3 linked regions of the Saccharomyces cerevisiae S288C genome follow. The main gene of each other region encodes a partner of the protein of the gene in region 2 in a complex. Each region holds a gene or a part of one and is shown on either strand. Other genes may lie near its edges.

The links. The genes of interacting proteins can lie anywhere in the genome.
Region 1: RTC6 (region 2) and MRPL28 share a complex: the UniProt entries of both Saccharomyces cerevisiae proteins name them as parts of the mitochondrial large ribosomal subunit.
Region 3: RTC6 (region 2) and MNP1 share a complex: the UniProt entries of both Saccharomyces cerevisiae proteins name them as parts of the mitochondrial large ribosomal subunit.

Annotation. Positions count from the first base shown.
Region 1 is NC_001136.10:1,384,401-1,387,097, forward strand, and holds MRPL28 (mitochondrial 54S ribosomal protein mL40 MRPL28), read left to right. Parts: upstream 1-1,672; coding exon 1,673-2,116; downstream 2,117-2,697. Other genes in the region: TFIIH/NER complex subunit TFB3, read left to right, coding at 1-376; MFA1 (mating pheromone a), read left to right, coding at 776-886; CMI8 (Cmi8p), read right to left, coding at 1,124-1,366; STP1 (Stp1p), read left to right, coding at 2,416-2,697. UniProt on the Saccharomyces cerevisiae protein: Component of the mitochondrial ribosome (mitoribosome), a dedicated translation machinery responsible for the synthesis of mitochondrial genome-encoded proteins, including at least some of the essential transmembrane subunits of the mitochondrial respiratory chain.
Region 2 is NC_001148.4:197,211-199,918, reverse strand, and holds RTC6 (mitochondrial 54S ribosomal protein bL36m RTC6), read right to left. Parts: upstream 825-2,708; coding exon 543-824; downstream 1-542. Other genes in the region: tRNA (34-2'-O)-methyltransferase regulator RTT10, read left to right, coding at 1-424; MRN1 (Mrn1p), read left to right, coding at 2,131-2,708. UniProt on the Saccharomyces cerevisiae protein: Component of the mitochondrial ribosome (mitoribosome), a dedicated translation machinery responsible for the synthesis of mitochondrial genome-encoded proteins, including at least some of the essential transmembrane subunits of the mitochondrial respiratory chain.
Region 3 is NC_001139.9:373,579-376,252, reverse strand, and holds MNP1 (mitochondrial 54S ribosomal protein bL12m MNP1), read right to left. Parts: upstream 1,167-2,674; coding exon 582-1,166; downstream 1-581. Other genes in the region: NPY1 (NAD(+) diphosphatase), read right to left, coding at 1-152; DNA-directed RNA polymerase II core subunit RPB9, read left to right, coding at 1,426-1,794; DNA-binding transcription factor AFT1, read right to left, coding at 2,169-2,674. UniProt on the Saccharomyces cerevisiae protein: Component of the mitochondrial ribosome (mitoribosome), a dedicated translation machinery responsible for the synthesis of mitochondrial genome-encoded proteins, including at least some of the essential transmembrane subunits of the mitochondrial respiratory chain.

The DNA.
Region 1 (2,697 bases), on a different chromosome or scaffold from region 2:
GTTGAGTACGACCACCCAGGATATCAATGAAACAATCGAAGGCGTTAAAAATACGGTTAAATTGAAAAAATCGTCCGCTAGAAGGAAATTGGAAGAACTAAATAGAGTTCTGAAAAACAATCCATATTTCAATTCAAATGTGAACGTACAGAATTCGAGACTCAAAGATGCTGTACCGTTCACGCCGTTTAACGGTGATAGAGAAGCACACCCAAGGTTTACGTTGAAAGGTTCAGTATACAATGACCCATTCATCAAAGATCTTGAGCACAGGAAAGAATTTATTGCGTCTGGGTTCAACACTAATTATGCGTACGAAAGGGTGTTGACAGAGGCATTTATGGGCTTAGGATGTGTTATATCCGAGGAGCTTTAAAACATCAGGATAGTGTGCAACGTGGCATAAGCTATGTAATCAACTACTTTTTATTTTCTATGTACGCATATACATGCATTCACGATCTGTTTCAGTGTTCAGAAAAAAGGCACCTACTGCTACGGTTGGCCCATACCTTTATTCTTTGTTCTTGTTACAAACGAGTGTGTAATTACCCAAAAAGGAAATTTACATGTTAAATGAAACCCAGTAATCAGAAAAAACAGTTAAGAAACCTAAAATGGTAGAGATAAAGATACAGATTCAGTGGTTGCTGAAAATCAAGTAAAAAAATGAAATAGAGTCTTCATATATAAACCGCCAGAAATGAATTAATGAGAGGGATCTGTAACTGTTTCTCGGATAAAACCAAAATAAGTACAAAGCCATCGAATAGAAATGCAACCATCTACCGCTACCGCCGCTCCAAAAGAAAAGACCAGCAGTGAAAAGAAGGACAACTATATTATCAAAGGTGTCTTCTGGGACCCAGCATGTGTTATTGCTTAGTTTCTGCGTACAAAAACGTTGTTCTCCCTCCTTTATCTTCCTTTTCCGCTACACCAATATATCATGTTTGTTCGTAATATTTCTTTTTAGACCTAATAATAAATATCCTAAGTAACTATATTATATAAAATATTTTGATACCCTGTACCTGCTTTTGTTATCGTTGTACATCCATGCACACGCTCATATATATATATATATATATATATATGTATATGTACATATACCGCTTACCACCTACCGTGAAGTATATGTAAGGGTCTTCGCACCCGGATATCCCTTGTGGGATCTTGGATGCGGATGGTGAGTGTAAACAGGCCTCATAAAGCTGTCTCTGTGTGCGGAAGATGTCGTTTCATCGGCTTCGACCTCCTCCTTATCTTGCTTCATTGTTTCTTCGTAAGAGGGCGGATCTACGGGCAGCGGGGTCGCTGTCTCCTTGTATGCATGCTTATTTATATCACTCTTTCCGCTATCCATCATAATCTGTTTTTGTTTATGTGCTTTGAATACTCAACACATAAAATAATATCCAGTTAATTGTCGTCTGTCCATTGACGCTTTGCCTTTGTCCCTTTAGACTGTCTTTATTGTGAAATATGCACGGCTGAGAATTACGTATACAGTGACTATCGTATGGGGCGACAAAAGTTCCCAGCGAGAAACAAGATGAAGCAGACTGGGGCCTGCCTGTATGGAGGGAAGCATAAGTTAATATACCTCCAGATATTTGCAGATTAGGATACTGAACTGACGAAGACCTACGCTACACAACGAAGATAACACATGCTGGCACAAACATTCAAAAAACCACACAGAGCCGTTCTAGAACAGGTATCTGGGACCACGGTCTTCATCAGAAATAAGAGAACAAAGAGCAAGAGCTCACTGTCACCTTTGGCACAAAGGGTCGTCACGCAGTTGAGTGTGATGTCTGCAAGCAGAAAGCAGCCCAAGTTGCTGAAGCTGGCGCGTGAAGACCTGATTAAACATCAGACCATTGAGAAGTGTTGGTCAATTTATCAGCAGCAACAACGGGAGCGCAGAAATTTACAGTTGGAATTACAATATAAGAGCATTGAGAGATCTATGAACCTTCTACAAGAACTCAGCCCTCGTCTGTTTGAGGCTGCCAATGCTTCCGAGAAGGGCAAGCGATTCCCGATGGAAATGAAGGTGCCCACTGACTTCCCCCCAAATACGTTATGGCATTATAACTTCCGAAAATGATAGCGTGAGCGAACGCTTGACTGTCTCCTGCTGTAAATAACTGATGATCAATAGAATGCCACGTATATATGGACTTATATAATTATATGTACATAGACATATAAAGGGCATGTGGTAATTATGACATGAACTGTATCACTATTGACGTTTTTTTTACTGCTTTTTCCCATCCCTGCAAGCGAAAAAAAAAGCAAGCTGACTCTTGTATAAACTGCAAGGACTCATTGATTAAAAGTAGATTTACATTACAGACTAAAGGAAAAGGCAAACTATACCGGCTATACCACATTCGTTCAAAAATGCCCTCTACCACGCTACTGTTTCCGCAGAAACATATTAGGGCCATTCCAGGCAAGATATACGCGTTCTTCAGAGAGCTCGTCAGCGGAGTTATTATATCCAAGCCAGATCTAAGTCATCATTATTCTTGTGAAAATGCGACAAAGGAGGAAGGCAAAGATGCAGCAGATGAAGAAAAGACTACCACAAGTTTGTTTCCCGAATCAAATAATATAGACCGTTCTTTAAATGGTGGCTGCTCTGTGATCCCTTGCTCCATGGATGTCAGCGATTTGAACACG
Region 2 (2,708 bases):
ACCTGTAGCGCAGTTGCCGGTACATCAATCTGGTGTCAAGTCCCTAGACTATGTTGCTAATGCTACAAGAACTTCCGCCACAATTTTGACAGGGGGTGATGATAATGGTTTAGGGTTAAGCAACCTGAAATTAGATGACTCGAATAAAGTAACGTTAAAAACAAGTGACTTTATCGCTGCAGCAGCTTCTTCGACAATAACGTCCGGTATGTTGATTAATGGTGGCAAAGAAGTCATTACCACATCGGTTGATCAAGTAATACGCGCTTGGGAAATTACCGCAGGCAAGCTTTCACTGGTAGATAAAAAGCGTACCACTGTGGCGGATACAGGATCATTAGAAATCATTTCCAATGATGAAGATGCTGATTCTGAGAAAACGTTACTGATCGGAGGTGTTGGTTTATCAATTTGGAAAAAATGATACAAAAAATTAACATATACATAAAAGAATATTATAGATATGTATTATTTACAGATTTTAGAAAATGAGAATATTTTGTAAACACCCGAACGGAGAACAGCGAAGAGATTTACATCTTTCAGCCTTGACGCTGTTTGTGTTTTTTATTCGACTTGCAATAAATGTATACTCTTCCCTTTCTTCTTACCAAGTAGCAATCACTGCAGAACTTTTTGACAGATGTTCTGACCTTGAAACCTCTGTTAAAAACCAAAGGTCTGTTAGCTGCAACAAGAGCTGGTTGCGGAGCTGCAACAGATAGGAGGCTGGGCACTGTGCAGGCCCTTGTTATCGTTATGGGGGACGGTTTCATGTGCAAAAACATCCTTGGCATAGTTAGGCGGAGAGTCTGTAAAAACATTCTTTGAAATCCTTTCGCTTGCTGAAAAATTCTGAGATTTGTACTATGAACCGTAGCCGTTATATGCGAGTAGATCGAGGCTATATCCCAATGCCAATAGTTCCACGATTCATTCCCTTTCTATTTGGAATAAGTGCGAAGACAGAATTTTTAATTTCGGCTTGGGTGAGAGAAAAAAAAAATCATAGTTTCGTTACGCAGATAGTAAATAACTAATACATAGATAAAAGCACCACCTTCTACCGGACCGTCGTCATTCTCGGCAACACCGTTGAAGTGTTTATGACTACGCTTTTTTTATCCTCACTTTTGGAATGCCCTTGAACTATGGACCTTTCACTCCCTATTGACAAATTCAAAAGACAAAAAAGGGAAACACTTGGAAAAGGTAACTTGACGTCCAATAATACACGCCGAATGAGGGCAGACTATGTCTTTCTTCCAACTGCCGTGGCAGTTGCGTACTTATCATTCTTATGTTCTTACAGTGGGATTCCACCATCATGGTAACCCGGTGCTTTTTTTCCTTGTGGTACGATTTTGGCTATGAGAAGAGAAAGAAAAGACAGAAAAAAACACGATCTTGAAATTAACTTTACCAGAAAGTGGATCTTGTGGTTGTCCGAAAGTCTACAAAGAGATTCAGTCACAACCGCAATCATACTCCATCCCTTCGTCACAGCAATAAATTAATCAGTTTCTTTGCCTTTGGTGGAAAGTAAAAAAAACTAAACTTGGTTCAGCACAGCGCTATATCTACGAGAACACCGTTGCCCACTCTTATACATTATTTTCACAGAGTCACATTCCCCACTGAATTCTCTCCTTAAGCTTCCTTTCTCTGTTTATTTTACCAATTTACAATTTCTAGAACTGATAGTCTCTGTACCTTTCCTTTAGATACACATACGCTTCATTTCTTTTGAACATTGTATTCTTCTATTTTCTTCGTTCTTCCGTTATTTGATATTTGCCCCTTTTTAAGTCTTCTGACTCACCTGTTCTGCTTTACCAATTAGGCTCCTTAATTGGTTCAACTGTCCATTCCAGCCTCATATTTTTCACTTTATCTTTCTTCATCATTTTTTTTGTCTAATTAATATCCGTTTCCAACTTCAATTCTCAAGGACACTCTTTTTTTTTTTGAAAAAAAATATCATATTTTTCTTTGCTAATACTATTTTATTTTTTCAATTCTGGTCGTTGAAGCCTTTTCTATTCAGATATTTCCTAAAGAAAAACAAAGAACTATCGTTGTATTTTTTTTTTTCTTCACCATCACATACTACTTCAATTGCATTAAAACATGGTGGTTTCTTATAACAATAATAATAACAATAACAATAACAATAACAATAATAATATCAGTAATAATAATAACAATAATAACATGTTCCCTCCTTTTCCTTCTTCCGATGACTTTGCAATGTATCAACAGTCCAGTTCTTCCGGCCCTTACCAAGAAACTTATGCGAGTGGCCCTCAAAACTTTGGCGATGCTGTGTATCCTATGAATGGTAATTTTACTCTTTTACCATCCGACTTTACACGAGAGCCTAATGATTCGTTCTTTTACGAGAATGACGGAATTTTTGATTATCAGCGTATTCAACAGCAACCAACTCAATTCCAGACAAAGCAGCGAAATGATTCACAACAGCAACGGTTTTCACAGGAACAAAATTTCGAAATTGATAACGAAGTTGTCCACAATAACAATCGTTATTATGAATATGAAAGGTCATCAAATGAAGTCTCTCCTTTTGATGATGAGAATCCAAATGTGTTATCTGATGGCATGTCACCCACTATTATGGCAACTGCAACTGCAGTAACCAACGCAAATGCGCCTTTACCAGTTAATGCACAAGCCAATAATCCTTT
Region 3 (2,674 bases), on a different chromosome or scaffold from region 2:
TTTTCGGGCGAAATGAGGGCTTCCCCTTCGATAAATGGGATAAAAACGGTAGAGTCATGGTTCAATGATTTTTTGATGAACTCTTTCGAACATCTTAAGAACGAAACTCTGTTCAAGACATGCTGGCCAAAAAAAGTCACAGCAGTGGACATTCTCTCAACTAACCGTAGCGTAATCAAAAAAAAATCAGGAGCAAAAAGGTACAATCTTTATCTTCTCTTTCGTTTCGCTCCTGCTCTTGTTCTTTATTCTTATGGTTGGTGGGCTTTATATTTCGAAGAAAAGCAACCGCTTTTGTAAGTTGGAAAAGTAGATTTATGAAGTGATAGATTAGCCCGTCTGAAATACTTATAACACGAAAACGAATGCCATAATGAAGTTGAAGATACTATAGAAAATAATAAGGAAATCAATCATTTTTATACATCTACTTGCAAGAAGCGATGTGGCAAAATATATAAAAGGCAGGACGAAAGAAGAATAAAGAGTTAAACATATTTACATGATATATTCCTTATTTTCTCGAAGAGAAAACAGACTATTTTGATTAACACGATTGGTAGATTGCTACAGTTTTAAAATCATTCTAAACTGACCTTAGCTCCTAAGTCTTCCAAGGTTTTCTTAATCTTTTCAGCATCATCCTTGGCGACATTTTCTTTCAAGACCTTTGGTGCAGCTTCAACGAATTTCTTAGCTTCAACTAATGAAAGCCCCAATAATCCCTTGACTTCCTTGATGACTTTAGCCTTAGTCTTCGTGTCGAACGAGTCCAACTTCACCGTAAACACGGTCTTTGCCTCAGGCTTAGCTTCTTCTTCAGCACCACTACCAGCTTCACCAGTGGAGCTAGGTACATTACCAGCACCTGCGCCTGCAGCGCCTGCCATGAATCCGCCCATAGGCATGGAAATTTCTGGAATGTTCAATACGGTTTTCAGCTCGTTGATTAAACTGGAAGTTTCCAAAAGAGTCAATTGTGAAATGTCCTGTACAATTTTAGAAATTTTAGGATCAACTGGCCTTACATCATCCTTATGTGATGGTGCTGTTGTAGTCGTAGAATTGAAACGGGTTGTGATAGTAATAGGAGAAATTAGCGCTGGTGTAACGCGCGTTTTCATCCAGATAGAAGAAGATCTCTTCGCTAGTATACGTAAGGACATACTGGGCGCTTATTTAATTGACTGTGTTTGCTGCTGACGGGCTGCTTGTCCTGTTCCTTCCAGAACTTACCGAGTTCTTGTTTGCCATTAGTTTGAGTTGTTTTATTGGACTTCAAGACATAGGGCGGGTAAGTTGAAAAATTTTGTTTTGGTGAATAGCGTTAAAGAGTAAGTCAAATGGAACAAGAGCAGATTCTAGGTAGAACGAAAGTTACAAAATCTAGCCAAAAGAGCAAGTTAAACTCCCCTTAAAACTGCTATGACTACGTTTAGATTTTGTCGTGACTGCAACAATATGTTGTACCCTCGTGAGGATAAAGAAAATAACCGGTTGTTATTTGAATGCAGAACATGCTCGTATGTAGAAGAAGCGGGCAGTCCATTGGTCTACAGGCATGAATTGATTACCAACATTGGTGAAACTGCGGGAGTGGTGCAAGATATTGGTTCCGATCCCACTCTTCCGAGATCTGATAGAGAATGTCCCAAATGTCACTCTCGGGAAAATGTGTTTTTTCAATCACAACAAAGAAGAAAGGATACTTCGATGGTTTTATTCTTTGTGTGCTTATCTTGCTCACACATATTTACTTCAGATCAAAAAAACAAAAGGACGCAGTTTTCATGAGTGCTCAACGAACTTTCAAAATTAATGACAGAGGGAGAGAAAATGGGACTTATCTTCACGTATGTCTTGTATGTATGAGAAAAGCACTACTATTTACACCAGCCTAATCTACCGGCAAAAGGATGATGTGAAATAACAGGGGGAAGGAACATGAAAAAATCCTGATCTTAGCACCGATATATGTAATATAATAAGAACGATTTTTTATCTGTAACAAAAGTAGAAAAAAGAATGTATACTATTGTTTTCTTTTTCTTCTTTAAAAAGTCAAAATTGTATAGATGCGTATATGTTCAGTATATAATTAATGAAGAAAGATGAAAATGTAATGAAAATGGACGAGAGATACGTCTAAGTTTGATTTCATCTATATGCTAATCTTCTGGCTTCACATACTTCAACTCGCCGTTCACCATTTTAATGTCTTTGAACTCTTCCAATAATGTGTTTCCCATTATTTCTAGCGATTCATGCGTTTGCATATCCTTTTGTACTGTTTGGTGCTGTTCGTGGTTATGGCCGTCGTGGGGCTGATTTTGGTGATATTGCAATTGCTGCGGTGGCTGCTGTTGCGGACCATATTGATGTGATCGTACTTGAGGTTCATTAGAGCTGAGATGACGATGGTCAACATGTTGAAAATCTATAGGATGTTGAGAACCGTGTGGGCCATTTTGTACAAATTTCAATTCGTCGAAGATTTTTGTTGAAGAGCTGCCAACTAAAGCTTCTTGTCTTAAAAGTGAGTTGCCCAGATCAGAAACGTTATGCTGAGTATTTAGCGAATGTGAATTGTTGTTTGGAACGCCGATGTTATTGTGGTTAGCAGCATCGGAGTGCGTCAAATATTGTAGAATATACTCATTATGTTCTTGGGAAC